4 linked regions of the Saccharomyces cerevisiae S288C genome follow. Changing the gene in region 4 together with the main gene of any one other region gives a genetic interaction. Each region holds a gene or a part of one and is shown on either strand. Other genes may lie near its edges. The genes, in order: APA1, YJL070C, RIM1 and DAN4.

Region 1 (7,291 bases), on a different chromosome or scaffold from region 4:
TGTGGAAGGTAGACCAATGATGTGTCCCTAATCGTTATGTTTTCCACTTCTCTCAAGTGTGGCATTTCAAGTTCTAGCTCCTTAGCGTTCGCATGTACACTGAATTGTCCCCTAATGGTTTTAACGTTCGAATGAATAGTTTCTAAAAATCTGTTATTATTGATATTGAAAGTATCAATTTCCTGAACCTTGTTGAAATTCTCGATGTTTGCTAATGAAGTATCCGATATGACAATATCCTTTATAATCTCAATATTCTGAGAATCCATGGAGACGTAGTTCAAGATGGGAACAACTTTCCACTCCAGTGACTGACAAAATTTCAAAGTTGGAATTTCAACAGAAACCAAAGAGGTTAGTCCCTGTAATTGGAAGAGCCCTTCGATTTTATTCAAGTTCCCGGCTTGGATTCTGATCAGTTCAGGTGAATCCTGAATAATCAGGTCACCACCAATGGCCCTCAAGCTGTTCAAATCCAAAATGTTAGAATCATAGTTTGTGACTTTTAATGACCCCAAGATGAATTCACATTGGTTTTGTAAATGAAAAAGATCATGAGACGATTCAATGACGTGCAAATCTTTTTTACACAACTCTGATATCGGTGAGTTTGTGTTCAGACTCTTGACATCTATTTCAAAAAACGGTTCATTTGCTCTTCTTTGAAGTTCGAGATTACCGTTATGAAAAGGCTTCACATTATGTGGTCGCCTTGGCGGATCAATAGCGGCACCCAATGCATGTGTCACAAATAATGATGCAAATATAATCGCGAATAAACAACTTTTCCTAGTAATACGGTTCATAAGTCGATCAAGTAATGAAAAAATGGCTTTTGGTTTTCCTTGTTGTATTTCAGATGAGATATCTTACCAACAGAACAAGTTTCTCTATTGTATGTCACAAAAGGATATAGCTTCTCCAAAATCTTTCTTTTTTATATTTTTTTTTTTTTTTTTTTTTTTGAATTAGTGACGCATCTTCTGTACAGTAAAGAGAGAAAAAAAGGGTATAATAAAACAGTTAAGCTATACTATAGTAGCGCATACACACAACGTATATACATCTAGTATTAAATATTAGTAATTATTAAATAACGAAAAAATAAATTATGGTTGAAATAGAATCAAACGTAAAGAACAAAGAAAAAGCTTAATGGAACGAAAGTTAAAAAGCTCCCCAATTTTGAACAACGGTTATGGAATTAGAAAGAAAGAAAAAAATAAAGGAAATAAAAATGTTCCTAGAATAAGAAGGCAACACCGGCAGCGATTGCTGCTCCAAAGGCACCCGCCGCCATGGTATTAACTACGGCTTCGCCAATCGAAACTGTCGTAGTCACCGAAGCGGTAGGAAGAGTAGTATTTGGCTGCGTAGCATTTGGCTGCGTAGCATTTGGAGTAGTGGCGTTAGGTTCAATGCCAACTTGGGCGTTGATAGCAGTGACTGTAGCTAGAACAGCGACAATGTTTTTGATTTGCATTATTTAACGGAAGTATAAGGTTTGAAAAGGGAGCTTTAATTGTTTTAGCCGTTATCGATTTAGCGGTGAGAATGAAATAAAGAAAAGAGGAAGAAAAGACATTACATACAAATTTTTTTCAACTTAAATGGAGGTTATGTACTTTCTTATATAGATGCTAATCTTTTTTTTTCATCTCATCACAGATTTACGTCGTCAATCTACTAACTTCCCTTATCTTCCCTAAAGGGTATCTTACGTTTCCCCTTAGGGAAAATGAGTTTTGTCCCACCTTCCCTTTGGGAAAAGGCAATGTAAATCTTAGAGGCAAGAACCACACTTGTTGATAAGATCAGCTGCGTAACAGTGCGCTAGGCAAAGGGATGGAATAAGATAAATCCCTTGTTATCCCTTTGCTTTTAGTCTTATGTTGGGGAAGTCCACAAGTTATTGTTACATAAAGGAGGAGAAGAAAACTAGGGGAATATTTATAACACTCGCATTAGCTGATCGTAGGAAAGCAACACAAAACATATGCATCAGCTGGCCCTGTTTGTCTTGCTCATCGATTGATTTTGCAAGCAAAGCTGGGATACCCGAATGTGTATGGTTTTCCTTTTTTTGGTATTTTTCTCCTATAAACGAGCTTTTTTTCGTCTTGCATTCAGATTTAAATAGCTGCTTCTAAATATATACTTTACGCAAGAGGGTCCGGTCCCAATAGGAACCAAGCTATTGCAATTCCAGGGTTCAAGAGAGAAAAATCTGTAATCACTTCGAACCAATGTTTAGTAAATACCTCGTAACTGCATCTTCCCTCTTTGTGGCTTTGACCTCTGCAGCATCTACCGTTGATCTAGATGCTCTGCTTCTTCTACCAGGGGTCGAGTCCCACGACGGCGTTGATACTGTATTTTCGACCAAAGACTTTTATCAAGTGTCATTCGTCAAATCCATTGCTCCTGCTATCGTAAACAGCTCCGTAATCTTCCACGATGTTTCTCGTGGTGTGGCTATGGGCAATGTCAAGAGCAGAGCAAGTATCTTCAACCCAGAGGAAACGTATTACGATTGGGAACAGTACCAAGTAGTAAATAACGGAGACTGGCGAACCGAATGGGCACCTGCCTCTGACTGCATTTGGAGGGAGGAGAAGGATAACAGCGACGAAACACCGGACAGATTCCCCATCTCGGTGCCATATAATTGGACGTCACAGTACTCAATTGTAGATTATGACACAGACGCTAACGAAGACAATTTAGATTTCAGGTTTATTAAATCATTGCTAGATAAGAAAAATTGGTTGAAAAAAATTAACCAGACTGTTTCCCAATCCAGTATTATGGTAGCACCAATGATTAGGCCATACAATGTGGTCCAGCTTTGGTATTCAAAAGATATGGTTTGGGCAAACGTCCAAAGACAATATTGTAGCGGTGTTTATCCAGGAGGGACTCAATGTAGCGCTTGGTCCAGGTACTACCATGTTGATGCACCCACCTGCGATGAGCCTGTCGCCTCTTACATGACCAAAATGTTGGAAAATGAGGTTCAGTGTCCCAATGAGAGAAACGCAACTACCCTAGAGCCTCTCCGCCTGAATAAGCAGGGAGACTCTGATTTTTCTTTGACTTTCGAGGAAGAGGAAGAGGAAGAGACAGGATCTAAATCTCTTTGGAGTACATTGAAAAAAATTTTCTCTAAAAGAAGTATAAGTTGATCTTAGTTGGTAGCACTTTGATGAGGTCTCTAGCAAAAAGTCTACAAACAAATTCTTGAAAGTGTTTGATTGTATATCGATATATCAGAAACATACATATGATTTTTATCTTGTGAATATTCATCAAACTCCGTTTTTAGCCCCCGTGTAAGTTACTTTAATGAGTATTTGATCCTTTTTTTTATTGTGTTGGTTTTTATATGTTTTGTTATGTATTGTTTATTTTCCCTTTAATTTTAGGATATGAAAACAAGAATTTATCAAAGAAAAAAATCTTAGCTTTAAGAACTACAAAGTAAATAAAAAATAATAAATCACACCGGACAGTACATGAAACTGGACATATTTGAGGAATTTCTTTTGAAGAGTTGAGCATTCAAACTGGCCGGTCTTGCTGTGGCCTCAATCCACTTGAGCTCCAAAGAAGGCTCTGAAATGCTTATTTTTTTCAAGCGATACAAAGTAAACAGTTACATACCTGAATGATACTACCACAACTATTTACATTATCGTCCTGTCAAAAGGCGAATAATCAGAACTGTTTGTTAACATGTCATTTTATAAGAGCGGCCTGAAATACTGTCATAAGTGGTCTGTCGAAAGTAGTTATTACGGCGTCGGGCGTCGCGAATAGCTCAAAAGTCACCCCAGCTTACACGATATTCCCATAACCTACAGCAAGAAGCTATTCTTGGATACAAGCACCAGTTACAAGCACTGCATTCATATATTGCCTTTTACTTTCCTATTCTGTATTTGTGTGCTAAGTGTCCTGTTTCGGAACGTTCTAGAAGATTTTCTTATTTTTCTCTTTTTCAGTTTTTTTTTCATCACGCAAAGGAAATACAATACAAGGTTAAAATGAAGGAACTAACATTACTATTATTTCCAATTTAAAGTTTACCTTAAAAGACAATAGATTGATCTTGAAAGCCAGTTTAGATAGATTTTAGAACAAACAGAAAAGTAAAAATTAAAATAAAAATGAGTATCCCCGCTGACATTGCATCTTTAATTAGTGACAAGTACAAAAGTGCCTTCGATAATGGTAACTTAAAATTTATCCAGACTGAAACAACGAAAACAAAGGACCCAAAAACCAGCATGCCATACTTGATTAGTCACATGCCAAGTCTGATCGAAAAGCCAGAGCGTGGCCAAACTCCAGAAGGAGAGGATCCACTAGGCAAACCTGAGGAAGAATTAACGGTTATCCCAGAATTTGGTGGTGCCGATAACAAAGCGTATAAATTGCTATTAAACAAATTCCCTGTAATCCCTGAACACACTTTATTGGTAACTAACGAATACCAACATCAAACTGATGCCTTGACCCCAACCGATTTATTGACTGCTTATAAGTTGCTGTGTGCCTTGGACAATGAAGAATCCGACAAGAGACACATGGTCTTTTACAATTCTGGTCCAGCCAGTGGTTCTTCATTGGACCACAAACATTTGCAAATTCTGCAAATGCCTGAAAAGTTCGTCACTTTCCAAGATAGACTATGTAATGGTAAAGAACATTTCCTACCAACTTTCAATACTGAACCTTTGCAAGATGCTAAAGTCTCGTTCGCTCATTTTGTCTTGCCAATGCCGGAGTCTGAAGAAACTGTTGATGAAGACCTATTAGCTATGTGTTACATCTCCATATTGCAAAGAGCTTTGACCTTTTTCCAGGACTGGTTGAACGAAAATCCAGAACTAAAGAAATCCTACAATCTTATGTTAACCAAGGAATGGATCTGTGTCGTTCCACGCTCGAAGGCCTTTTCTGATGAAATGAAGATAGGTTTCAACTCCACAGGTTATTGTGGTATGATCTTAACCAAAAATGATGAAGTTTTCTCCAAGATTACTGAAAAACCTGAATTGATTAACGATATCTTATTGGAATGTGGTTTCCCAAACACTTCTGGTCAAAAACCAAACGAATACAACTATTGAGTCCTTCACAAGTACAAGTATACACGTATACATGTATGTATATATATGTATTTAAATGATAGAAGTAATTTCTATATGTATATGTCTATTCAATTTTTATTTCTGATGACTTTGAAATTTTATATTTATTATTCTACACTTTATTATTAAAACTACATGCAATCAATGCCGTTAAGGTTACGATTCACCTTTTTATTACTTATTATTAATATTGTTGTATTACTTCCTTGAAAAAATATGTCTAAAGAGTCCTAATTTGGATTTTCTTTTCCTCCTAACTTCACTGTCCTGCGCCTGCTTTCCTAACGCATCATCGCTAATACACCAGCTTTCATTGCTTGTTGCTGCGCTGTTGCTCGCATGGAACGTTTTCAGTGCGTCATCATCCTGGGATAAACTAAAGACTAAGTCACCAGTTTCATTTGAGGCTTTTCTCTGCGCGTTGACAAAAGAGGACAGATCAACCATATCACCTGGTTCACCCATGAGAATGTCCTTACTTAGTTGCGAATTGGTTCTGATCTGCCCTTCAGACTTGGAATATTCATTACTGTCATTACTTTTAAGCCTATTCATTTCTTCCTTGCCATCAGGCGTACAGGATTTGACCACAGAGTGTTGAAGGGGTGCATCGTCCGCTCTCGTAATAACCCCTCCGATACTATTTTCATTGTTGACACCGTTGACTGAAAAGGGCATGGACTGTGCATTAATGTTTTCATTTTTCATCATATCATCATATGGCATTTCATAATGTTGACTCTTGTAGTTGAAGATTGAGTTTATCGTGTTACTGTTTCGTCTACCTTTCATATTATCAATCAGGTTGCGGTGTTGCATGTGGGAGATAGGACTGCCCGATCTTCTTCTTCTCGATTCTCCACTAAAATCCTGTCTTTTATCGCTATCCAGCACACGATTAAGCTGTGAATTGCCGCACTTTTTAGGATAACCATCCTTGGCATATCTAGGGTTATCTTTTAGTGGAAAATTATCACTTTCTAAGTTAATGTCCGCATTGCTGTCATAAAAGGATACTGGTGTTGCGGGAGTAGATGCTAGTTTAGAAGGGGTATAGGCCAGGGAAGAAGGTGTCATTGCCTGATTGATTGTCATTGAAGCAGCCGACCTTTGTTCTTTTGGAGATTGCGAGTCACAGCCTACGGTCAAAGGTAGCTGCTTCGTATAATGATAATATCTTTGCTTTTGGCCTTTGATCTTCAACGAATTGAATGTGTTGGAATTCCGTGCATTGGCGTTTTGCATCCCATGGTTGTGATGGGTCGGTGACCCATTGAGAGCTGAATCATCTACATCAATGGCCTGTTCAGATACACAAAGGGAAGGCCGCAGTGGGGATAATAGTGCTGTTGGAAGCTTTTGCTCATAATATTCATTTTTCGATTCTGGTTCAATTAAGGAGTCCTCTTCTTCTTTAATCATAGAGTTAGAACCGGCTGCACAATTGCCCTTATCTACCATAACCTCCAAATCAGGAGGAGCGGATTCAGATCTTCTATGTGATTTAAATGACCTAGGCCTTGTCTTCAACGCATCGTCAAGGTTAATAATGGCATCTGGGACGCCTTTAACTGGCGATGAAAAACTTGGCTCTTCACTAATGAAAAATCGTGGACTTGGTGTTTGCAGATTGTTCTTTGGTGATAACGGATAAAATCTTGGTTCAGGCAAATCTAACGTTCCAGCGTCTTCATTGGTTTTGCAAGGAAATCTATTGTAGCGTATTGGCGATAATGTACTTGATACAGCAGTTGGGGCAGTTGAAGGACAATTTTCAGCCGCCTGTGGAGGTGGTAAATTCACAATTGCTGCAGGCTGTTTCAAAAAATCAAAATCTCCTGATATTGCTAGCGATCTGCGATGGCGGTGACCTCTTTTGGATGGTGTAGACAAAGTATTTACAGGATTTGGCTCTGATATTTGCACATGTTGAGTATGCGTATTGGGCATTTTCCTATTCTGAGAAGGAGTATGAAATAATTGCCGAGGGTTCAGAATGCTCTTTTAGAAATAAAAATGAATGTAAATAGTTGGAATGTATCTTTAAGTAGACAAATGCAGGTAAGTTTTAGTGGCCTTTGCGGATTAACAGTATGCTCTTAGTGCAAAACACGAAAAGAGCTCCCAATCTTTGA
Region 2 (8,613 bases), 400 kb from region 4:
CAAGCGATGATTATTCTGAGGACTCTGAAGAAGCTGCTTGGATAGATTCGGATGATGAAAAAATTAAAGTGCCTATTCTTGTTACCAATAAGACAAAGAAATTAAGAACCTCCTATAACGAGTCCAAAATCAACGGTGTTCATTACATCAACAGATTGAGATCTCAGTTTGAAAAGATATATCCAAGGCCCAAATGGGTGGACGATGAATCTGATTCTGAATTAGATGACGAAGAAGACGATGAAGAAGAAGGCTCTAATAATGTTATTAATGGAGATATTAATGCTCTAACGAAGATCCTGTCTACTACTTACAATTATAAAGACACTTTATCGAATTCCAAACTATTACCCCCTAAGAAACTTGACATTGTGCGTCTTAAAGATGCAAATGCATCACACCCGTCTCATTCCGCCATACAATCTCTTTCATTCCATCCTTCTAAGCCTCTACTGTTAACGGGTGGGTATGATAAGACCTTAAGAATATATCATATTGACGGGAAAACGAACCATCTAGTGACAAGTTTGCACCTGGTTGGGTCTCCAATACAAACATGTACTTTCTATACTTCTCTATCAAACCAAAATCAACAAAATATATTCACCGCCGGTAGAAGAAGATATATGCATTCCTGGGACTTATCCTTAGAAAATTTAACTCATTCACAGACTGCCAAAATCGAAAAATTTTCCAGATTGTATGGACATGAGTCCACTCAAAGATCATTTGAGAATTTCAAAGTTGCACATTTGCAGAATTCACAAACAAATTCTGTCCATGGAATTGTCCTTTTACAGGGTAATAATGGTTGGATTAACATTTTACATTCCACTTCCGGACTATGGTTAATGGGCTGCAAGATAGAAGGTGTGATAACGGATTTCTGTATCGATTATCAACCTATTTCACGTGGTAAGTTTAGGACCATTTTAATTGCTGTAAACGCGTATGGTGAAGTGTGGGAATTTGACTTGAATAAGAATGGCCATGTTATAAGAAGATGGAAAGACCAAGGTGGCGTGGGTATAACAAAAATCCAAGTTGGTGGTGGGACAACAACTACTTGTCCGGCTCTTCAAATAAGTAAGATAAAGCAAAATAGGTGGCTTGCGGTAGGTAGTGAGAGTGGATTTGTTAATCTTTACGATAGAAATAATGCTATGACCTCGTCGACCCCTACACCTGTCGCCGCCTTGGACCAGCTAACAACTACCATTTCTAATCTACAATTTTCCCCTGATGGTCAAATACTGTGCATGGCATCCCGTGCAGTCAAGGATGCTTTGAGACTAGTTCATCTGCCTTCTTGTAGCGTGTTCAGCAACTGGCCTACCAGCGGGACGCCTTTGGGTAAAGTTACCAGTGTCGCATTTTCGCCATCTGGTGGGCTACTGGCCGTGGGTAACGAACAAGGTAAAGTGAGGCTCTGGAAATTAAACCACTACTAAATTTCCATTTATAGACAAACTTAGATATTAAAAGCAATGTACAAATACATACACAAAATATCACTGTAAAAAAATTGCGAAGAAACTTGAAATTGAATATGATTCTGCCCACTTTTTTCTTGCTGTCATTTATAGTCAGAAATGAAAAATTGTCCGAGAAATTAAATATAATATATGGAAAAAAAGGGGACATTGAGTTTAAAGAATTTGATTAAAATGTCCTCTCAATATCCTCTGTAAGAGTTATCTAAATCTCACTTTACTTATTCATCTCGCTGGGAATTATGCAGGCGGTAGAGAGAAGGCCCTCGTTACTCTTTGACGAATATCAAAATTCTGTTACTAAGCCTAATGAGACGAAGAATAAAGAAGCCAGGGTCTTGTCAGAGAATGACGGTGATGTCTCCCCATCTGTTTTGAAACAGAAGGAAATATCAGTCGATGATATGGATATGATTTCTTTGCCCACGGAATTTGACAGGCAAATGGTTTTAGGTTCACCTATGTTTTTCGATCTTGAAGACGAAGAAAACAAAATTGATCCACTTCCTTCAGTTTCCCATCATTATGGAAATGGAGAAAGTGACAGCTTTGTCTCATCGTACACGCCCTCAAATCTGAAAACGGGTGAAGAAACTAAAGATCTTTTCATTAATCCGTTTGAATTGGTTTCTCAAATGAGAAAAAGATACATTGCTGCTTCCAAACAAGATGGCATTTCAAACATAAAAAATGACACTGAAAAGTGGTTTTTATACCCAAAACCACTGCCAAAGTTTTGGAGATTTGAAGACGATAAACGATTCCAAGATCCCTCTGACTCTGACTTAAATGACGATGGAGACAGTACTGGGACCGGAGCCGCTACACCGCACCGCCATGGCTACTATTACCCAAGTTACTTTACCGATCACTACTACTACTACACAAAATCTGGTTTGAAAGGAAAAGGAAATATAAAAGTACCATACACCGGTGAATATTTCGATTTAGAGGATTACAAAAAACAATACATTTACCATTTAAGTAATCAGGAAAATACGCAAAACCCACTTTCACCTTATTCTAGTAAGGAGGAGTCACTAGAGGAAGAATTTTTAACAGATGTGCCTACGTTTCAAGAATTTAGGGATGATTTTGCATACATAATAGAGTTAATCCAATCTCATAAATTCAACGAGGTTTCACGAAAGCGATTATCTTATTTATTAGATAAATTTGAATTGTTTCAGTACCTAAACTCTAAGAAAGAAATTTTAGCTAATAAAAATGTTCCCTACAGAGATTTTTATAATTCTCGTAAGGTAGATCGAGACTTGTCTTTAAGTGGTTGTATTTCTCAACGTCAATTGAGTGAATATATATGGGAGAAAATAAATTTAGAACCTGAAAGGATAGTTTATCAAGACCCGGAAACGTCAAGGAAACTCAGTTTGAGAGACATTTTTCAGTTTGGTTGTTCTTCTAATGACCAACCCATTGCGATTGGGTTGAAATTGATTGATGATGAATTCTTGGATTGGTATAGAAATATTTACCTAATAGATTACCATCTAACTCCTAACAAAGTAGCAAAGTTGGTCGGCAAAGAAATGAGGTTTTACCTATTAGCCAAAGTGTTTCTGGAGTTTGATAATTTCATTGAAGGTGAGTACCTAGCAGAAATTTTCATAAAATACGTTATTCATATCCTCGAAAAATCAAAGTACCAATTGGCCCAAGTATCAGTTAATTTTCAATTCTATTCCAGTGGTGAAGACTGGTACAAGAAATTTTCTCAATGGTTGCTACGATGGAAGCTAGTATCGTATAATATCCGCTGGAATATACAAATTGCCAGGATTTTTCCCAAACTATTCAAGGAAAATGTCGTGTCAAATTTCCAGGAGTTTTTGGATCTTATCTTCAATCCTTTATTCACTCTGGAAAAGGAGCAGTTACCAATAGATTCATCTGTAAATACTGATATCATTGGTCTGCAGTTTTTTTTATCAAATGTGTGTTCTATGGATCTGGTCATTAAAGAGTCGGATGAATATTACTGGAAAGAATTTACTGATATGAATTGTAAGCCAAAATTTTGGACAGCACAGGGTGACAATCCAACTGTTGCGCATTACATGTATTATATTTATAAAAGTTTAGCGAAAGTTAATTTTCTGCGGTCACAAAATCTTCAAAATACAATCACCCTAAGAAATTATTGTTCTCCACTATCCAGCAGAACTTCCCAATTTGGAGTGGATTTATATTTTACAGATCAAGTTGAATCGTTAGTGTGCAACTTACTGCTTTGTAATGGTGGTCTGCTACAGGTAGAACCGCTTTGGGATACTGCAACAATGATTCAATATTTATTTTATCTCTTTCAAATACCCATTTTAGCTGCGCCATTATCATCTGTTTCATTACTGAATTCGCAAAAATCGACCTTTTTGAAGAATAAAAACGTGCTTCTAGAACATGATTATTTGAAAGACCAGGAAACAGCCAAAATCAATCCTTCTAGAGATATCACTGTGGGCGAACAAAGATCATATGAGACAAATCCTTTCATGAAAATGTTTAAGATGGGACTAAAAATTTCTTTATCATCAAAATCGATTCTTTACAATAGTTCATACACGCTAGAACCTCTCATTGAAGAATACAGTGTAGCAGCAAGTATTTACTTGCTGAACCCAACAGATTTGTGCGAGTTGTCGAGAACAAGTGTGCTATCTAGTGGCTATGAAGGTTGGTACAAGGCTCATTGGATTGGCGTTGGAGTTAAAAAGGCGCCTTACTTTGAGGAGAACGTGGGTGGGATAGATAATTGGTACGATACAGCGAAAGATACCTCGATAAAGCACAACGTTCCGATGATTAGAAGAAGATATAGAAAGGAGACATTGGATCAAGAGTGGAACTTCGTTCGGGATCACTTTGGAGTAATTAACTCCATTTGGTAGGGTAAAGTGAAATATCAACAACTTTGCATAGTAAGATATATATATTTATATAGATACCTTAAAAACTGAAAATGAAAACTTGAAAGTTAAGGAGGAGGAGAATGCGTCTTTGTTTCATGAAATATTTTTTTCATTTTCCCAACTTGGCTTGATGTCCCTGACAGACCTCATGAATTCTCTTAAACGTTTCTTGTCACGTAGTGCCCTCTTAGCGTATTGAGGGTTACCGTAGTAAAATAGTTTAAATTGGCTTTGCTTTTCATCACAGTGTTCGGGGTCTAAGTCAATCGACAAATCTAGCACAGCAACGCTACGTTGAAAATACCACTTGTTCACCACATTGTCTTTTCTGCTTCTCCAAAGTATCTCATTAGGAAATTTTTTGAACATCAAATTGAAGATTATATCAGATATACCCAGCGAGCCTTTCAAGTGTGGTAGAACGGCGAACTTATCGAGATAAACAAAGGAATTTTCCTCCGAGCCTTCATAGGTAAGAATTGCAATGCCTTCATAATCACCTATCACAATAATTGTAGCTATTTTTCCATTAATCCTTTTTATGTAGTCATGCAAATCCAAAGATCTTTTAAAGCTCTGATCGATGATGGATTTAAATTTGTTGATATCTAGTTTTGGACTATTGCTCGAGGGTTTTGCTCCTTTCTCAGGTACGTGAAACTTCTTTGGAAGCCCAATTGAGTTGAATTGAGTCAGCGTCTTATAGTCATAAGTTTTGATATGGACGCCCTTTTTGAGAACAGTTGTCACTAAAACTGCATCTGAGTTAGAAGGAGCTGCATTTACCTGTTGGGAAGGCAATTCATACCATGCGTGATCATCAAACATGTTGGCTGGTGAGTCTATCTCGCCGTCCTTTTTTTTAAACCTTGGTAAAGAAGAAGAAATTAGCGATCGGTCTGTCAATAAATTATATACTAAAGGATTTTTCCTATCTGATGATAGTGCGGCAGCTTTGACAGTTGTAATCAGTCCCGTTGCTGTAGCCGCTAGATTTGATAAAACTTTGTCCATCAATAACAGGTTTTCTAAATGATCATGGTATTCACATTCTAAGGAAGATATCTCATCTTTTTTAACGTACACCTCCATTCTGTGTAACAGGTTTTGGGAGCGTGGCTCTCGTTTGGTTAGAGTGCTTATATTGTGAGATAATGACGAGGACAAATGCTCGAGTTCCTGAGAAAGATTGATGAATACATGAGCGTTATCATTTCTCTCTCCCGAAGGTATACCTCCGGCATTATTTAGAATGAAGAATTTGTCAATGTGTGGAATATTCCCTTGGCACAGGCAATCCATAAATTTTACAACATCCTTTGTCATGAATTCTGAAGCAGTCTCTTCATTATACACATAAGGTTTCACAATTGGTATAAAATTGGAATTTCCAATATCAAAGAAACGACTCTCTTGCGAAAAAACAGAATGATATAACCCAGTGCGGGATTTAGTAAGACCCTCCTTAAGGTGAAGTGGCTTTAAATCTGCTTCTGTAACGATACTGTCAAGTAACTCTGCCTGTATATTTACATGAGTTGGCGACGGCGGAATTACAAACATAGGTCGCAAACCTAGCATTCCTAGTCTCTTTATGACACTTGAAAACTGGGACAAAATCGCTGGTGCGACTTTATGCAGGTCCCTGATAAAAAACAAACAATGATTATGCTGCCCACTATCATTTGTATATTTTGAGAGATAATCCTTAGCCTCTCGTTTTGTAGCGGTTGTATTCAGAACTGAAAGGATCAAGTTTTTTGAAGATGCATTGGGTTGATCATACTTGAGTTCATGCGCGAATATTCTCCTCCACATGATAAAAGTAACCGACTAGTGTCCTAGATTGACGGTCCTAGCTTCAAATGTGTTAACTTTCACAATTTATGTCGAACGTGCTTATGACTCCATGGGAAGATCAGTGATGACTAACCTTTTTTTTCTCCAGCGTGAAATTTCTTGTGATATTTTCCATTTAATGAAAAATCAGTCGCCTAAAGTGTAACTATGAAATGGTTAACAAAAAAGAGTTTTATACTTAGAGAGGATCAACGGCTGATCTGAAATAAGACTAGTTTCATAGACGCATGTCACTACCGGCACATTTGCAGCAGACTTTCTCACCAGAAGAAATACAGTTCATTGTGGAAAACGAGCCAATAAAGATTTTTCCCAGAATAACAACACGCCAAAAAATTCGTGGCGATGATAGAGGAACTGGAAACCACACCCGCTGGCAACTTATTACTACAGATGACAAAGCTTTAAATAATATGGTAGCCATGCGTTCTACAGAAGTGGTTCTTTGGATCGCTCTATTACTGAAGCAACAATCCAAGTGCAGTATTGTAGCACCACAGTGGTTAACGACGAAAGAGCTTGATAGAAAAATACAATATGAGAAAACTCATCCGGATAGGTTTAGTGAGTTGCCGTGGAACTGGCTTGTCTTGGCACGTATACTTTTCAATAAAGCTAAGGATGATTTTCATGACCCCATTCACGAATTACGTGGTAAAATACAAGACTTAAGGGAAATAAGGCAGATCAAAGTGTTAAAAGGCCTTAAGTATTTGAATGAATCTCATTTACAATTGGATAATTTAAGTCTATTAGAAATCAATGAGTTGAGGCCGTTCATTACTGAAATCATGGATAAACTGCGAGAAATTCACACAGCATCTCTTACCGCTGGTACTGAAAATGATGAAGAAGAATTCAATATTTAAAAAAGTGCTGGCTTTGCAATAATTAGAACTTTCAGTGATATGCGTATGTATATATATGTACTTGTTGTGGTATCCTAGTTAATGGGCATAGAATGTATTTCATCAAAGCCCAAAATTCATTTTAAAGCCATTTCCGAATGGGAAGCCACTTCCTGGATTTTTGAACATGTTATTTTGCCTAGGCCCCTGAGGAAAAGTGTTGCGGCGGGGGTTTGATCTGGAAAGATCGTATTCCTTCCTTTTATCGTCATCACTTAATGTTTCGTACGCTTCATTGATTTGTGACATAGTTTCGTGAATTGATTCTTGTTTGTCGTTATGGTTGGCCTTTATTTTGTCTGGGTGGTATTTTTTGGTTAAATTTAAATATGCTTTCCTTATTTCTTTCGAACTAGCACTAGGCGATACTCCAAGAATTTTATAATAGTCCTTTTTTGGGTCGTAGTTAGGCGCTGCTGGGGGTGCTTGATGTCGTTGGTGTTGTTGCTGCTGTTGTTGTTGTTGGAAATATTGCTGGTTGAAATTCCGATGTTTATGCTCTTTATAGGTTTGTAATTGTTTCTGTAATAATCGGAAGTTCTTCATCACGTATGGATTGGTCGACTCTGAGAGGCCGTTATCTTGGAAAAATTTGTTTATCTGGTCATATAATTGCTTTTTGAACTGTGAATGAGGTTTAGACCTACTTTTATTAAGTATTGAGTTTACCATATACATCAGCAAATGAGGATTGGAATTCCATACATCACTCAATACCGTCTCAGGTAAAGGTTTTTGCTCGGACTTAGCATCCTGATAGTGTTTCCATGTTTCTAGTGTTAGTGAATGCCTCAAACTCTTTTTACAGAACGGCGCAGCCAGTTTAGCTCTCTTGACGTCCGGACTCATGCTAGAAGCCTGACAAAGAATGGAATCAATGTATACTAGATAATCGGTATGATAGTATGATTTTGGTTTGACAAAACCATCGGTTATTGGGGGATCTTCGAATAAATTTTTTGCCAAAGGTCTCGACAGTTGAACGTCTTCTATCAATTGTTTGATAATTTCCTCTAAAAAGAAGTAGTTGTTTTTAAAGTTTGTATCTTTGTTAAGAATTTTCATTGGTGTAATAAATGGCTTCTTATCCTTCAAATAAAATTCAATAATTCTATCCCAACTTCTAAACTTTTTGTTCTCAAATGCATATGTTGCTGGATCCAGGATCTGTCTTTTTGATGGATTCACCTTGTTCAATTTGGAAATAGTCAGGCTTAGTTTTTTACATTTATCATAGTCCATATCAATGGAAAGGCATTTTCTTATATTGAACGACGCATCTGAGTTAAGTACAAAGGTCTGTAAAACAGATATGACATAATGAATCGAAAGTCTTGTATCTATGCTTAAGCTAGCCAAATGCTTGTCGAGGATTGTTTCGTAATCCAAAATGATAGCAGCAGCTAACGAAACGTCAATTTC
Region 3 (6,587 bases), on a different chromosome or scaffold from region 4:
CCATACGCTGCTATGTTGGCTGCCCAAGATGTTGCCGCTAAGTGTAAGGAAGTCGGTATCACTGCCGTTCACGTTAAGATCAGAGCTACCGGTGGTACTAGAACCAAGACTCCAGGTCCAGGTGGTCAAGCTGCTTTGAGAGCTTTGGCCAGATCTGGTTTGAGAATTGGCCGTATCGAAGATGTTACCCCAGTTCCATCTGACTCCACCAGAAAGAAGGGTGGTAGAAGAGGTAGAAGATTATGAGTTATGCATGTATTGTACTTGTATTGCCGTATTATTTTTTACAGTTAAAAAATGTGTACATATAATTATATAGCGCCCATAATCAAATCAGCTCATACGTCAATTTAGTAATAAAAAAAAGCCCTTATAACCTTTTAGTTAAGAAGATTCAAGATTGCGATTTGATTAACGTCATTACGGAAATGTAAGGACACAATTACCAAGAGTTACAAAATCGGTTCAGAGATTTAAAACTGTCGAAAACACTGTAATCATAAAGTTTGAATGCTTTCAGATACTATCTAGCATAAATTGTGTTTAAAAAAATCATCATTTTAGAATTTTGTTGACAAGAACATCTGGTGAAGCAGGCTACCCCTTTTTAAAATACGTGGAAAAAAAAATGACGTTCTCGTCATTGTCATCTTCCATGTCTACGCCTTTTCGTGTCCATTTCATTCTATTGATTAACTTATTAGACATCGGAGGGAAGTTTTTCCACCTATGTTATATATGTAAATTTTTTTTTGAAGGAGGCGCGCATAAAATAATCTCACACTATTTTGAACATTGCTTAGGGTTGAGTGGGGAGTAAAGAATAAAGCGAATCCTATTCGTGTAAGCCGGTCTACTTATTGATAACAATATTTTACAGGCGGCTATCATGTTTCAGCTTACGCATTCACAGTCAGGTTGGTGCTCTACATGAATACCAGCGTTTACTTTCATTTACAGAGTACTAGCACCTCCACTGTCGCTAATACTGAATTTAGTTTTGAAGAGTGAAAACAACTAAATCAGGCGGTAGAAGAAAATCAATAGCTCATATATTCTTATATATTACAGGTGATATTTGTATATGATTATGAATGGCTTTTCGTAGCCCGTGATCTTTCATTTCTATATTATGTGTAGCTAAAAGGGCCCCTTAAGTACTTGCAGATTGAAAAACTCTATATTGCATTCAAGTTTTCACGAAATACAAAGAAAAGGTCTCGTAGTTATTGCCTTAATAAAGGAATTACTTTTGCTGTAGTCGTATTGAAGCAAGCTTATTTGAAAATTGCGAATAATCACCTCTCATGACGGAACAAAGAACCAAATATGCAGATAGCATATTGACTACTAAGAGTCCTTACGAGGCTACCGAAACTATTAGAATCAGGTTATCGCAGGTCAAATTGTTGAATAAAGACTTTTACCTGTTATTTAAGGAATTGGCAAATCTGAAGAGGAACTATGCTCAGCAATTGAGAAAAATAATAGCTGAAAATGAAGATATAACAAAGATCTTAAACGCTCAAATGATTGAAAGTAATGTTTTGACTCCGCAGGAAATGAGTGCATTCAGATTCAACTCGCTGGGAGAGCTAAGAAATGTATGGGATACTGTAATTGAAGAACTAAAATCAGATTTGAAGTCAAGTACAGAATACTACAACACTTTGGACCAGCAAGTCGTTCGTGAATTGAAGGAATCCGTGGAGAACAATACTAGCTGGAGAGAAAGCAAGGACTTACATTCCAAGCTTAGTAAAAATGCAGCTTCAATTGAGCACTATAGTAAGAATAACGAAAACTCTAGTCACTTAGAAGAGGCAAGAAGGCAATGGGACCAGCAAAGCCCCTATTTGTTTGAGCTGTTCGAGACTATTGACTATAACCGTTTGGACACTTTAAAAAACTGTATGCTTAGATTTCAAACCAGTTTTAGCGATTATTTACTAAATACTACCAAAGAATGCGAAACGGTGATGACGAAATTCCTGGCATTCGAACCGCAAAGTGAAATTGATCGTTTTGCCAAAGATGCCAGTCAATACAACTTCCAACTATCCTCTTCTTCCAAAGAAGTAGTTCCTAATAATGCTTCGCCAGCTTCTGCCACTGGTGCCCGCCCGGTCTCTGTATCCAATGGTGCCGCTAATACGGAAAGAGAAAAGAAATCCCCACAAAAGGATAAGCGTAAGAGTGCATTTGGAAACATTGGACATCGTCTTGCCTCTGCATCTTCCAGTCTCACTCATAATGATCTCATGAATAACGAATTTTCAGACTCTACTAATAATTCTTCCTTGAAATCAAAAAAGTCGTCCCACACCCTAAGATCTAAAGTGGGCTCAATTTTCGGTAGAAATAAGACCAAGAACAAGAGACAACAACAATCATCATCAAACTCTCATATTCAGGCATCCATCACTGAGACTCCGAATAATTCTTCCACCAGAGTGTCTTCAACTGCAACTTCTTCTATTTATCAGAAGCAACGTCGACCCACCTATTCATCATCAAAATCAAACAATTGGACCCCGGGTGAAGCTAGTGACACTCCTCCTCTTCCTCCCCATGCTACTCCTAAAAACGTAGATGCACCTGTTACTGCCGATACACCACCTGCGCAAACTTTTACTCCTTCTGAAGTGCCTCCTTCAACGCCACAACAAAGTTCTCCACCCACTGCGAAAGAACCAGACTCAAGTAACTTACCCAAGACAGTACCGATATCAATTTCTCAACCTCCACTTCAGCCACAATCAAAAACAAAACCATTACCAGTTGAGCCTGCCTCTCCCAGTATTTCACTTCCTACTGCTACGGTTGATAACCAACCTTCAGGTCAAGTTGATTCAAGGCCCTTGCATATCCGCGCACCTGCTTTACCACCCTCAAGGAAACAAAATTTCATTCATAACAGGGATTCTCAACTCTATGACTCTTTGCCTAATCACGGCTCAGGCGCTACCCCTACTTCTTCTTCCTTGTCCTCTATTCCCCAGGAACGTCCAGTTTCCACACTCTCCTCTCAGATTACTGGCGAGCTAAGAGAACTAAATCCTCAAGCCACGGGCTCTTCAACATCTTTAGTTGGTCAATCGTTGTTTCAGCACTCCTCTTTAGATACATCTCAATTTGGGTTGAATGCTAGTATCGCAGAAGTGCTCAATGCTTCTTTCAAAGACGGTATGTTGCAGAACTCCCAACTGATTGGGGAAATTGCCCTCAACTATTTACCCAATTCTGTCATGAATTCGCCTTTACCTATCGGTATTAATTTGAGAATCAATAATGGCGCTAAGTTCGAAAAGGTCATTCTGAACCAAGCCTTTATTGAGCGTGTTGCTCCAGAAGAATTCAAAGTTAACCCTTCATTTATCGATTCTAGAACCTTAGGAGCTATTAAATATTCCATAAAGGAGCCGATCGCGCCTATTGTTATTCATCCGGTCTGGAGATTTGAATCTCACCAGGCAAGTGTTGTATTGACTGTCAAGATGTCACCAAGCTTACCCGATGAAATATCACAAATCGTAATAGAAGACCTCGTTGTCTTTGTGAATATCGATGGTGCTAATGCAACAAGCGCTTTATCAAAACCTCAGGGCTCCTTCAGTAAAGAAAAGAAGAGAATAACGTGGAGATTTAAAGAACCAGTTGTTTTGACAAGAAATGGTGAAGGTCAAAGATTAATCGCCAGATTTATTACAGACGGCCTGGCACATGAATCCGCTAAAGGCGTGATTACCAAATTCACTATCAGTGAGACGGATAACGTGGCTCTACCCCATAGCGGAGCCGGCAGTGGAATCACCTTGACTTGTCAGGAGCTGGATGAAAACAATCCATTTGGTGGTGAGTGGCTCGATGTAAACACAAAAAGAACTTTGACCACTGGTAACTACCATGGTCTCGCTTGATATTTCTGCTATGCTTCTATTTTTCAATATTAATTGTTCTTTTGTTTGCTAATCCATAATTTATGGAGGTGGCGCCGCTAAATCATATTTTCCTTTTGAAACCTTTGTTTAAGACTTACGTAGAACTACACTTATGTACTATAATGTTCTGTAAAGATTCTGTATTTTCGTTCTTTTCTATTCCATTTTTCGGACTTTTAGGACTTTTCATCTAATACTTATTATTTGTGGAGGAGTGCTTAAAAGGCGTTTGCGCCCAGACGAAAAAAAAAAAGCTAACACAGTAGTTGAGAAAGACAAATACCACGAATTTGATAACAAGTCATTTGCTAATTGTGTGTCCTTGACAAATACAAAACAAACAAAAATCCACTAATCCATTGTAATGTTTTTACGTACTCAAGCTCGTTTCTTCCATGCTACTACCAAGAAGATGGACTTCTCGAAAATGTCCATCGTCGGCCGCATTGGCTCTGAATTCACTGAACATACTTCTGCTAATAACAATCGTTATTTGAAATATAGTATCGCTTCGCAACCAAGAAGAGATGGCCAAACCAATTGGTATAATATCACCGTTTTCAATGAACCTCAAATCAATTTTTTGACAGAATATGTTAGAAAAGGGTATGTTATTTATTCTTCAATTTTACTTACTTTACAATTACGCGTTATAATTTACTAACATTTCCTTTCCATAATTTATTCAGCGCTTTGGTATATGTTGAAGCAGATGCTGCTAACTATGTCTTCGAGAGAGACGACGGTTCTAAGGGTACTACTTTGAGCTTAGTTCAAAAGGACATTAATTTATTGAAGAATGGGAAGAAATTAGAAGATGCTGAGGGCCAAGAAAATGCTGCTTCTTCAGAATAATTGTAATATTTACGCTTGCTTATTTCGACTCTTCCTCGATATTTTTTATCTAGAGCATGCTTTCTTTTACTTAAAATATTTATGGCAAATAGGAAAAATACATTTGGAATAACGAACTAGTTATGTAAAACTATGCTTATTCTCAAATAGAATGTATATATACTATAATATATTGGTTAACGTGTGTTATGCAAAATGCTTTTTGATGATGAAATTTAGCAAAAGAGGAGGAAGCTTTAGCGAATTTAACATATCCTTCATTGTTACAAAATTGCCTACACCTCCATTGATCCATGCAGTCCGATTATTGTAGATTTTGAGTAGTCGATCTTGAAAGGCATTTTTGACGAATTACAAGAACTCAGCATCGATCAAATCTTCTACATGCGTATATTGTAAAGGAAGACATCGGCTCTTAAGAGAAATGAGGCGGACCTGTAATTCTGATATAAAAGTATTCCGATTTATTCAAGATTGAGAAGCTGTTTTCAGAATTTTTGATTGGAGAGAGCCTGGGCCTAAGTCATGATGAAGGAATCGAAATCTATCACTCAACATGAGGTTGAGAGAGAATCTGTTTCTTCCAAGCGTGCCATTAAAAAGAGATTACTTCTGTTTAAAATAGACTTGTTTGTGCTATCATTTGTTTGCTTGCAATACTGGATTAATTATGTCGACCGTGTCGGTTTCACCAATGCATATATATCCGGTATGAAGGAAGATCTTAAGATGGTCGGAAACGATTTGACCGTGTCTAACACAGTTTTCATGATTGGTTACATTGTAGGTATGGTCCCCAATAATTTAATGTTATTGTGTGTTCCGCCCAGGATATGGCTAAGTTTTTGTACGTTTGCTTGGGGTTTATTGACCTTGGGAATGTACAAAGTTACATCGTTCAAACATATTTGCGCAATTAGATTCTTTCAAGCCTTATTTGAGAGTTGCACATTTTCAGGAACACATTTTGTTTTGGGTTCGTGGTATAAAGAAGACGAATTGCCCATTAGAAGTGCTATTTTTACAGGTAGCGGTTTGGTGGGATCTATGTTCAGTGGATTTATGCAAACAAGTATCTTTACTCATTTGAATGGGCGGAATGGCTTGGCGGGTTGGAGATGGTTATTCATTATTGATTTTTGTATCACATTACCCATTGCAATTTATGGGTTTATTTTCTTCCCCGGCCTTCCTGATCAAACAAGTGCTGTTAGCAAATTTTCTATGACGAGATACATTTTTAATGAACAAGAGCTACATTATGCTAGGAGAAGGCTCCCCGCTAGGGACGAAAGCACCCGGTTAGACTGGTCGACTATTCCTAGAGTCTTAAAAAGGTGGCACTGGTGGATGTTCTCTCTTGTTTGGGTTCTGGGAGGTGAGAACTTGGGTTTCGCATCTAATTCTACATTTGCATTATGGTTACAAAACCAAAAATATACGTTGGCGCAAAGAAATAATTATCCTTCGGGGATATTTGCCGTAGGTATAGTTTCTACGCTTTGTTCTGCTGTATATATGAGTAAGATCCCAAGAGCTAGGCATTGGCATGTTTCTGTTTTCATATCATTGGTAATGGTTATTGTTGCGGTACTAATACGTGCAGACCCACTAAATCCAAAAGTCGTCTTTTCTGCACAGTATCTTGGAGGCGTAGCATACGCTGGACAAGCGGTTTTTTTTTCGTGGGCAAACATTATTTGTCATGCAGATCTTCAAGAACGTGCTATCGTTCTTGCTTCCATGAATATGTTTTCAGGGGCCGTTAACGCATGGTGGTCTATATTATTC
Region 4 (9,426 bases):
TTGCAATGGTGCTTGCAGCAGAGCTAGATTCAGATGAAACAGTAGCTTGGGTGGAAGCAGCGTTTGAGCTGGTCTCTGCTGAACTTTCAGAGGAGCTAGAAGACTCAGTGGCGGCACTAGAAGCTTCTGAAGTGGAGGTGGAAGAAGCCTCTGTGGTAGAAGCTGGTACTGCAGTAGCAATACCTTCATTCGCAAGTGCTTCGGAAATAGCACCCATCAATCTAGTAGAGTACCATGGCACACCGGTGATCATTCTGGTCACTTCATCACCTGAAATACCAGTCAACATGGTGGTGAAATCGCCACCGGCAAAAACAGCCTTGGCAATTTCAGGTGGGTATGTTTCAGTCTTATGCAAAGCCTGGAAAGCGTAATATTCAGATAAATGGGCGCCAATATCAGAAACGTAAACAGCCAATTCAATCAAATTGACCCTTTCATCATAAGGGGATAGAGTGGTGGTCACGGATGCGGCGGTTGCACTTGCCACTAATGCTGCGGCGACAGCTAATATACTAATTCTAGACATTACTTGGGGTATATATTTAGTATGCTACACTTTTATCTGAAAAAGAAGAAATAGTACCGTGTCGACATAAAAATAGTATCATTTAGTCGTGCTATTTTATACGCAGTATTTTCAATCATTTCTATTCAATGAGTACCCAGGGACCCTTTTGCATTTCTAGCATTCTCTGTTCCTGAACGATGTTTTGTTAGAGGCCTCGTATAGATCTTGGCATTTTCAAAGGCACGCGTTGTATTGTTTTATTGCCTATCAAAGGAACGCGCAGGAAACATGAAACTTTTCAGAGGAGCGTCTACGGAGGATACATTCATCAATTTTTCCTCATAAATTAAACGATGTGTACAAAAAGGACGAATTGACCCCGTCGTTCGGCGAAACCTTATGTATTTTCCTGGCCATATGTGCTAAACGACAGATAAAATAGGAAATTCTCCCCATTTTCGACTAATAAGATAAGCGGGAGATAGCATCATATGAACTTTTGCACTCAAACGAAGAAAGCACGTGAGGATTGAAGAAAACGGATCGCCGAATCCAGCGTGAATTGAGCTCAACAATTTTTAACTATATCAATCTCTTTCACTTTAAACACTACCACTTAAATCTTTTTAAAACGCTTTGCCCAATGACCCTTTTTTTATTAAGGTTGCTGAGCTATTTTTTCTATACTATTGTCAAACTCCAAAGATATTTTGAGCTTTATTTTCTTGCAAACAAAATACCCTACTGCTTAATAAATGCAATGTATACATAGTTTTCAAGGTACATTATATTTTAAAGTTACCTCAGGCCTGTTTGCCCTTGCATTCTACAGTCCCTTTGTAAGGGTGTGAGACAAAAGGCCTCGTTAGCTACGACTGTTGAAATCGTTTGAATTCGGCTTACAATCTAACTTTGACTGCGCAATTGTTCATGAATTTATAGTGTGCTTGCGAGGGGCAACTTCATACGAAGGCTTGTAGGACCCCTAAGTGCATCCATAAACATGCTCAAAGATTGTCTTAGAAACCACAAGGAGAACGCACAGTATGAATTAAATAAGTTGCGCTCTGCTAGAATATTTTGACGATTACAAAGTCAGAGATCGAAACATTTCCGCTGTGCAACTAAGTAATTTTCCCAATCTTTGGAGAAAATCAATAATCACAAGATTAGTACTTATCCTCTTGTAGGCTTCTCTCTTTCGCTATAAATAGAGCAGAAAAATATGATACAGAAGGTCGAAAGTTTGCTTCGCTGACTGAAGCTTTCTGTCAAGAGTTGACAAAAACATACAAGATTCAGTATTGATAATAAATGGCCTGCACTTAAGACTCAACCATCCCAATAAGTTACCTAGTTGTGTTACCTAAGCTAGGAAAATACACATTGAAAGATGTTTTACAAAGTATTGTAAAGGTACAATGCATTCTAGGCCGAATGTTCATTTCGGATTGTAATATGTAGTCAACGATAACGAACCTCATGGTTATGGTTATTTCTGTTCCAAATTTGCAAAATAGATCTTCATTGTCGTTGTCGGAACGGGTGGTTTATAATTTTAGTAACCATAGTAACTGAATAAAGTGACCAAACAGTATACTTCATAGCTCCAGGCTAGGAAACAAGATACTACTGCGAAACTAGCGGAAGAAGTTACGTTAAAGATCTATTAATTCAATGTTAATTCAAATTTAATATACGTAGGGATGCGAGTTATTACATTGGAAATATAGCAAATCACTGAAATACCATCATTTTGAATACATTCGTCATCGCCGCATCAGTTATACGTTTCTGCTATACCGTATAAGAATACTTGCTTCTATTCTTAGTTATACTGAATTTTAGACATTAATAAACTACTAACGGTTGCTACTACACTACACTATTCTTCTACCAATGTCGATGAGAGCGAACTCTTCAGAAAGCAGTTTACTTGAATAAATTTTTTCAAAGGCCCTCATTTCTAATGCCTTGTGACCTAGAATTTAGCAGCGTCAACTTTATGGAGCGTTATTTCTCAATTCCATCTTTGTGCCGCGTAGTTCTATCTTACATAACTTTATTTTAAGAAGAGCTTTAGTTCATGTTCTTGGAAGAATTCCTTTTTTGACACGATTTTTAACCTAAAGGCTAAATTTTATTTAAACTAACAGTGAACAAAGTATTTAAAGCTTCATATGTGAGTTGTCGAACACGTCAATAAACGGAGGTAATAAAATGAAGGATGAGGGAAAAAAAAAACCATAATTTTAGGCTGAAGCCCATATTGTGATATTTTTAATGTTTTCTTAGAAAAATTAAAAAACTTCTCAATTAAATGTAAAATTTTACTTGTTGGCGATACCTTAGAGGATTCAAATTTAACTAGTGTTAATATACGAACTGGTAACACTAATGTTTAGATACCTGTATATCATACAAACCATTCAAAGTGTATAGGAGTATGTTCACAAACCGTAGTATTATGTGCTACATGAATCAAGTATAGATTTAAAATTTCTTTCAAGTCAATTTAAATTATTTTACAATTGTTTATATGCTTGTGAAGATTATATTGTATCACTATAGCAGTAATAAAGCGACAACAGCAACGATAGCGGTACCAAAAATGTTATCTTTATCGAAATTATAGGCACCGTTGGTATTGATACTGACAGTATAAGAAGCAGATGAATGAGCAATGGAAGTAGCCGAGGAGGCTTTTGGAATTGGTGAGATGACTTTGCTGGTAGCGGTCGCGATTGGTGCAGTTAACATGGTACAGGTTCCACCTGAGCAGTTGGTCACAGTAGTTTGAGTGATAGACAATCCGGTTCTGGTAAACATGCTAATCCCTGCATCGACAGTAGTCAGGGTGGTACAGGCACCCGCAGAGCAACTGACTTTAATCGCTTTGGGGATGGTCGACTCTGCATTGTTCGATGTAGTGGCTTTGGAGTTGAAACTACTAACCGGAGACATCAGCGTGGTGCAAATACCACCCGAACAACTAGTAATAGTAGTTTCCATAGTTAGCAACTCGGTTTTAGTAGAGGCGACATCTTCTTCATTATCTTCGCAACTAATGGTAGCGGTGGTAGTTGCTTCGCTGGTGATTGTAGTAACTGGAACAGTCAGGGTCGAGCAAACACCACCAGAGCATGTTGTTATAGTTGTTTCGACCGTGGAAGTTTCTGTAGTTGTTAATGTGTTCGCCTTAGCATTAATAGTAGTAACCGGAGACATCAGCGTGGTACAAATACCACCCGAACAACTAGTTATAGTAGTTTCCAAAGTTAGCAACTCGGTTTCAGTAGAAGTGATATCTTCTTCATTATCTTCGCAACTAATGGTAGCGGTGGTAGTGGCTTCGCTGGTGATTGTAGTAACTGGAACAGTCAGGGTCGAGCAAACACCACCAGGGCATGTTGTTATAGTTGTTTCGACCGTGGAAGTTTCTGTAGTTGTTAATGTGTTCGCCTTAGCATTAATAGTAGTAACCGGAGACATCAGCGTGGTACAAATACCACCCGAACAACTAGTTATAGTAGTTTCAACGGTAGAAACTTGAGTTTTCGTCAAAACACTATCTTCATTAGTACAACTACTCTTACAGCTCGTGATGACAATTTCATCTGTTGATAGGTTTGTAAATGTTGAGGTTGCATTACGAACATTTTCTATCGTGCTGAACAGACCGCTACTGATGGTGTTGGAACTTCTGGCATCACTGCAATTACTTCTTGAGGATACTAAGAGAGGGGAACTTGATGCAAAAGATGCGACTGACGATGTAGGTTCCATAGAAAATGAAGAGACGATCGATTGGGAAACAGTGAAAGTACTTAAAGTGAAACTTGACATATTTGATGACGAAAGATATAAGGAAGAAGTCCGCTCAGCAATGAAGCTAGTGGATGTAGACGTAATTGCAGTAGACGACTCTGGAGAGGAACTGATTTCACTGAAGGGAATATTAGGAGAAACTGAATCGGTAGAGCTAGTGACCACAGTTGAAGAAACAGCAAGTGGAGTGGAAGGCGTAGCAAAAAAGGTAGTAGATTGGGTAGAGGAGTTACCAGAGACATCAGATTTAGCAGAAACAGTGGATCTGGTAAAGAAATCAGCAGCCTTGCTCGAGGAAACAACGGCTGAAGTGAAAGTGGATGTGGCAGATAGACTTTCAGTAGAAGAAATGGATTCATCAGAAGAAGGTCCAACCAAAGAAGTGGGTTCAACTGATGAACTGATCCCGCTTGAAGTAAGTACTTCAATGGAAGAAGGAATCTCAGAAGAGGAAGTAATTACACTAGAAACTATTAGTTCACTGGAAATGGTGATTTGATTAGAGGAGATAGATTCTGCGGAAGTGGTTGCTTTACTGAAAGAGAGAGGTTCAGCAGAAGAGGTGATTTCACTGAAAGTAGACCCGAAGGAAGAAACAGGTTCTGTCGTGGTCACTTGACTAGACCTGATAGGTTCAACAGAAGAGGTGACTTCACTTACAGTAGTAGGTTCAGCGGATGAAGTGACTTGACTAGACCTGATAGGTTCAACAGAAGAGGTGAATTCACTGACAGTAGTAGGTTCAGCGGATGAAGTGACTTGACTAGACCTGGTAGGTTCAACAGAAGAGGTGAATTCACTGACAGTAGTAGGTTCAGCGGATGAAGTGACTTGACTAGACCTGGTAGGTTCAACAGAAGAGGTGAATTCACTGACAGTAGTAGGTTCAGCGGATGAAGTGACTTGACTAGACCTGGTAGGTTCAACAGAAGAGGTGAATTCACTGACAGTAGTAGGTTCAGCGGATGAAGTGACTTGACTAGACCTGGTAGGTTCAACAGAAGAGGTGAATTCACTGACAGTAGTAGGTTCAGCGGATGAAGTGACTTGACTAGACCTGGTAGGTTCAACAGAAGAGGTGACTTCACTGACAGTAGTAGGCTCAGCGGATGAAGTGACTTGGCTGGGACTACTTGAACTGATATATGTATCGCTCGTAGTAGTAGTAGTTGCAGAAGTAGTGAATGCGTTAGTTGTTGAGACACTAGAGGTTGTATGGTCAGTAGAAGCCGTAGATGTGGCAGGTGTAGTAAGACTGGCAAAAGTGGTAGAGGTTGTAGCAGTGGTAGAAATGACAGAGGATGCAGAGGCACTAGAAGTACTGAAAGTGCTTGAAGTTGTAGAGGTCGTGGGAGCGGTAGAAATGGTAGAAGTGGTAGAGGTTGTAGAAGTTGTAGAAGTTGTAGGAGCGGTAGAGGTTGTAGAAGTTGTAGGAGTGGTAGAAGTTGTAGGAGTAGTCGATGTGCTTGAAGTAGTAGGAGTAGTCGATTTGGTGGAAGTTTGAGAAGTGGTGGAGGTTGTAGAAGTTGTAGGAGTGGTAGAAGTTGTAGGAGTGGTAGAAGTTGTAGAAGTTGTAGGAGTGGTAGAAGTAGTAGAGGTTGTAGGAGTAGTCGATGTGGTAGAAGTTGTAGGAGTGGTAGAAGTAGTAGAGGTTGTAGGAGTAGTCGATGTGGTAGAAGTTGTAGGAGTGGTAGAAGTAGTAGAGGTTGTAGGAGTAGTCGATGTGGTAGAAGTTGTAGGAGTGGTAGAAGTAGTAGAGGTTGTAGGAGTAGTCGATGTGGTAGAAGTAGTAGAAGTGATAGTGGTGGTAGGAGTAGTCGAAGTACTAGATTTTGTAGTCGTTGTAGAAGTAGAGGTTGGGATAGCCGTGTAAATACCATCCTTTGAAAGCGCTGAAGAGATAGCCGGCTTTAATCTGGTAGAGTACCACGGAACACCAGTGATCATTCTAGTTACTTCATCACCCGAAATACCGGTCAATCGAGTAGTGAAATCACCGTAGTCAAAAACGGCTGCTGCGATTTCCGAAGGATATGTTTCAGTCTTATGGTGATTCCGGAAAGAGTAGTACTGAAATATGTGGGCTCTGATGTCAGAAACATAAACAGCCAATTCAATAAGGTTGACTCTTTCATCGTAAGGAGATAAAGTAGTGGTCGCTGTAATAGCAGCCGCACTAGTAGCTAAGGCTACAATTCCTGCTACGATGCTTATATTAACCATTGCTTTCTTCGGAGTTTTTCGGATATCGCAGATTCGACAGGAACTGGTACTTATTTCAGTTTGAGCATACTCTCAATACAGCCATTTACACAGGCCATTTATAGGCTTTCGAACCAAACAGCTGTTGTATAAACGAATATATTGGAGCAAAATCACTATCTTTGCCAATGCTTCTTGTTTTACAGTTCCTGAACGATGGAGATCTTAAACAGATCTCGTATAATTTTTGACATCTTTAAAGGCACGCGATGTACTGTCTTTTTCACCGCCAAAGAAATGCGCAGCATGTAAAAACTTCTCCGGAGAAAACGCCTACGGATGGGCAGATCGATCGAATTTCCCCGTGCCTAAATTGTTCTGCTCTTATTATCTGTGATTAAGTGACAGAACTGCAAAAAAAGTTAATTTGATGTCGTCGTTCAATAGACATTCACATAACTTTACTCTACGTGCTATACGCGCTACCAAACAGAAAGATCACTTTTTCCCAGTCAGTAGACACTGGGTCACTTGGGGTTTAGCACACTCGAAAAGGAGTAAATATGCTGCAAACGAGAATGTGCAAGCACCATTCAGAGGATCTTAGCTCGTAGAGAGAGAGAAGCTGTTTGTGCTATCCAATTTTGATCCTAGCGCTCCGAAAAAGGTCCGTATTAGGAAACTAGATCTTGTTAATTGAAATATCTCCTCATTTTTTTGCAGCCCGCCACTCAATGCGCTTTGTAACCTGTCATAGCTTGCACAGAGAAGTATCAAAGTCTACATGTGACAAAAAGAAAACCCAAATACTTCTTGGCTATGAATGTTATCGTTTGATGATAACATCCATTCCTCCAATTGGAAAATAATTACTCACGAAGGTTCTATGCATCCAAAGCGGAACCGTTGCTTTCATTTAATAGAATCCACAGAACTTTTAGTGTGATTTATACGAATTCCAAGGGAGACCTCGACGTGTGACTTGAATTAAGAAAAAGCCTTGCCAATCATAATAGTTCATATATGATAAACGGTCTTGATTCGGGTTCTTATAGCAACAGTAACGAAAAATCTCTACCCTCATAACTTAGTATTGTTGTGTTAGCGGTCATGAAATCTTTTGTATTTCCTTTAACATATCAGTTATATTTTCTTCACGCTACGTCAGCCCCATTATTGTGCCAACAGTTTACATCCTTTGCATTCAGAGGTGGTTCATTAGTCGCCTACAGCTGCCCGTTTGGAATGACGGCCCGTAGAGGACACGTTAATAGAAGACATTCCCCGCGATTCGACGAGTACGGCGCACTCTCAATGATTTGTAAAGGTTTCATATCAAACTATCAAAATATGCGGGGCTCTGCGTAAACAGAAGCAATCAGACTACATAAGGTCCTCAGTGTAATCTTACCGTAGGCCGATATGTCTTCCATTGTGAGAATTTCTCAACATTCTGTGGTTAATCAACCAAATCATGCGATACTAATGATCTTGACGGGCATACATAATAGAAGCTAAAAAAAAAAAACTAGCCTGAAGCTTATTCTGGGGCCCATATGCTCGAAATGCCAAATTTTCAAAAATCTAGCCCTACATGCACAACAAATGATTGTGCCTGCCTCCTGGCAGGAAAAGGGTTGATATGAAGATGTCCGGCGGCCTCTTAAACTTAAGATTGAAAGACATGCTAACCTTGTTCCGTTTTAAGGATAAAGAGGAGCCTCAATAAATGTGTAGTTATCCCTTGCTAATAAAATAGTCTTATTATCTCGCCACTATAAAAGTCGAAGTAAACAGACAGAGACATGTTCGATACTCCACTTGCACTTCGAAAAAGTAATTAGGAATCCTATATATGCGATGCTATCGTTAATCTTTTACCTTCGTTTCCCATCTTATATAAGGGGATGACGAAAATACCTTTCGGCTTACAAATCCATCTGTAACAGCTGAAAAAAAAAACCAGATCTGTTGATCAGTTGTAATCGTGTAAACGAGTACAAAAGGCCAGAGACAGCTTCTACTCCAAGCTTAAGATACGTATACACAAAAGATTTTTACTTGAAGGAGTAGAGCCGAAGCGTGTGAGTATGACAGCGCTGCGTAAAACATCAGAGACGTATGTAATCTTCTTGTCTAATCCATTATTGTCAATAACTCAAGCTATATTTACATCTTTAGCGAAGTCAGAAACTTATTGTCATCCTTTCAAGCCTCGCCGTTGACATCCGCTGTCAGCATCACCCTCACCTAAAGTGTTATTACACGAAGAACTGATTAAATACGCCGAGTTTGGGATGACCTGTTCTTACCCGTTCATTCCTTTTTATGGCACACTACGGTTAGTATACGGCGTTGGCCGTGTGATAGGGAAAAATAGGGTAGGTAATAGAGAACAATTGATGAGTTTTATGTAATTGTATTCGCGCAAAAATAAAAGAATATCAACAAAAAATTTTGATTCGTTTACTTCATAAAAAAAAATCCTAAAATTTATGAAAATGATTAAAAAAAGACATCCACTTCCCCATAGTGCTAAATTGGTATGGACGTTAAATAGCTTTTATCGTCGTTGGTTTTCAGACAAATGTGTAGCACCCTAAGTGTGAGATATCATATATTTCAGAGAATATAGCACCAAGTATCGTTATGCGTTCTGGTCCGTACCTGAGAGCTGCTCATAAGAATAGGCAAAAGCAAGAAAGAGTGTTCTGTCAGGAATTTTCAAACTATTTACAAGCTAGGAAGGCTATACGTAGTAAATAACAGCCACGATTCGACGTGGATAAACAAACATCTACGAAATCCCATTTTGGCATGAAAAAGTGGAGCAAGAAAGACTTGAGGTATGAAATACTTGCAATCTTTCACATCAACACTACTTT

What was found.
Region 1: mutations in DAN4 (region 4) and APA1 together harm fitness more than expected from each alone (negative genetic interaction), as found in Saccharomyces cerevisiae (2 studies listed by BioGRID).
Region 2: mutations in DAN4 (region 4) and YJL070C together harm fitness more than expected from each alone (negative genetic interaction), as found in Saccharomyces cerevisiae (2 studies listed by BioGRID).
Region 3: mutations in DAN4 (region 4) and RIM1 together harm fitness more than expected from each alone (negative genetic interaction), as found in Saccharomyces cerevisiae (2 studies listed by BioGRID).

The regions. Positions count from the first base shown.
Region 1 is NC_001135.5:35,680-42,970, reverse strand, and holds APA1 (bifunctional AP-4-A phosphorylase/ADP sulfurylase), read left to right. Parts: upstream 1-4,169; coding exon 4,170-5,135; downstream 5,136-7,291. Other genes in the region: SPS22 (Sps22p), read right to left, coding at 1-806; YCL048W-A (uncharacterized protein), read right to left, coding at 1,244-1,483; YCL049C (uncharacterized protein), read left to right, coding at 2,247-3,185; LRE1 (Lre1p), read right to left, coding at 5,355-7,106. UniProt on the Saccharomyces cerevisiae protein: Ap4A phosphorylase catalyzes the phosphorolytic degradation of bis(5'-adenosyl) tetraphosphate (Ap4A) into ADP and ATP. Can also use other Np4N' nucleotides (where N and N' stand for A,C,G or U) as substrates with equal efficiency.
Region 2 is NC_001142.9:303,760-312,372, reverse strand, and holds YJL070C (metallo-dependent hydrolase superfamily protein), read left to right. Parts: upstream 1-1,735; coding exon 1,736-4,402; downstream 4,403-8,613. Other genes in the region: UTP18 (Utp18p), read left to right, coding at 1-1,451; ARG2 (acetyl-CoA:L-glutamate N-acetyltransferase), read right to left, coding at 4,517-6,241; DNA replication protein PSF2, read left to right, coding at 6,511-7,152; JEM1 (Jem1p), read right to left, coding at 7,255-8,613.
Region 3 is NC_001135.5:171,159-177,745, reverse strand, and holds RIM1 (Rim1p), read left to right. Parts: upstream 1-4,305; coding exon 4,306-4,547; intron 4,548-4,630; coding exon 4,631-4,796; downstream 4,797-6,587. Other genes in the region: 40S ribosomal protein uS11 RPS14A, read left to right, coding at 1-246; SYP1 (Syp1p), read left to right, coding at 1,308-3,920; FEN2 (Fen2p), read left to right, coding at 5,322-6,587. UniProt on the Saccharomyces cerevisiae protein: This protein binds preferentially and cooperatively to single-stranded DNA (ssDNS). Involved in mitochondrial DNA replication. Stimulates PIF1 helicase activity.
Region 4 is NC_001142.9:709,179-718,604, forward strand, and holds DAN4 (Dan4p), read right to left. Parts: upstream 6,563-9,426; coding exon 3,077-6,562; downstream 1-3,076. Other genes in the region: DAN1 (Dan1p), read right to left, coding at 1-529. UniProt on the Saccharomyces cerevisiae protein: Component of the cell wall.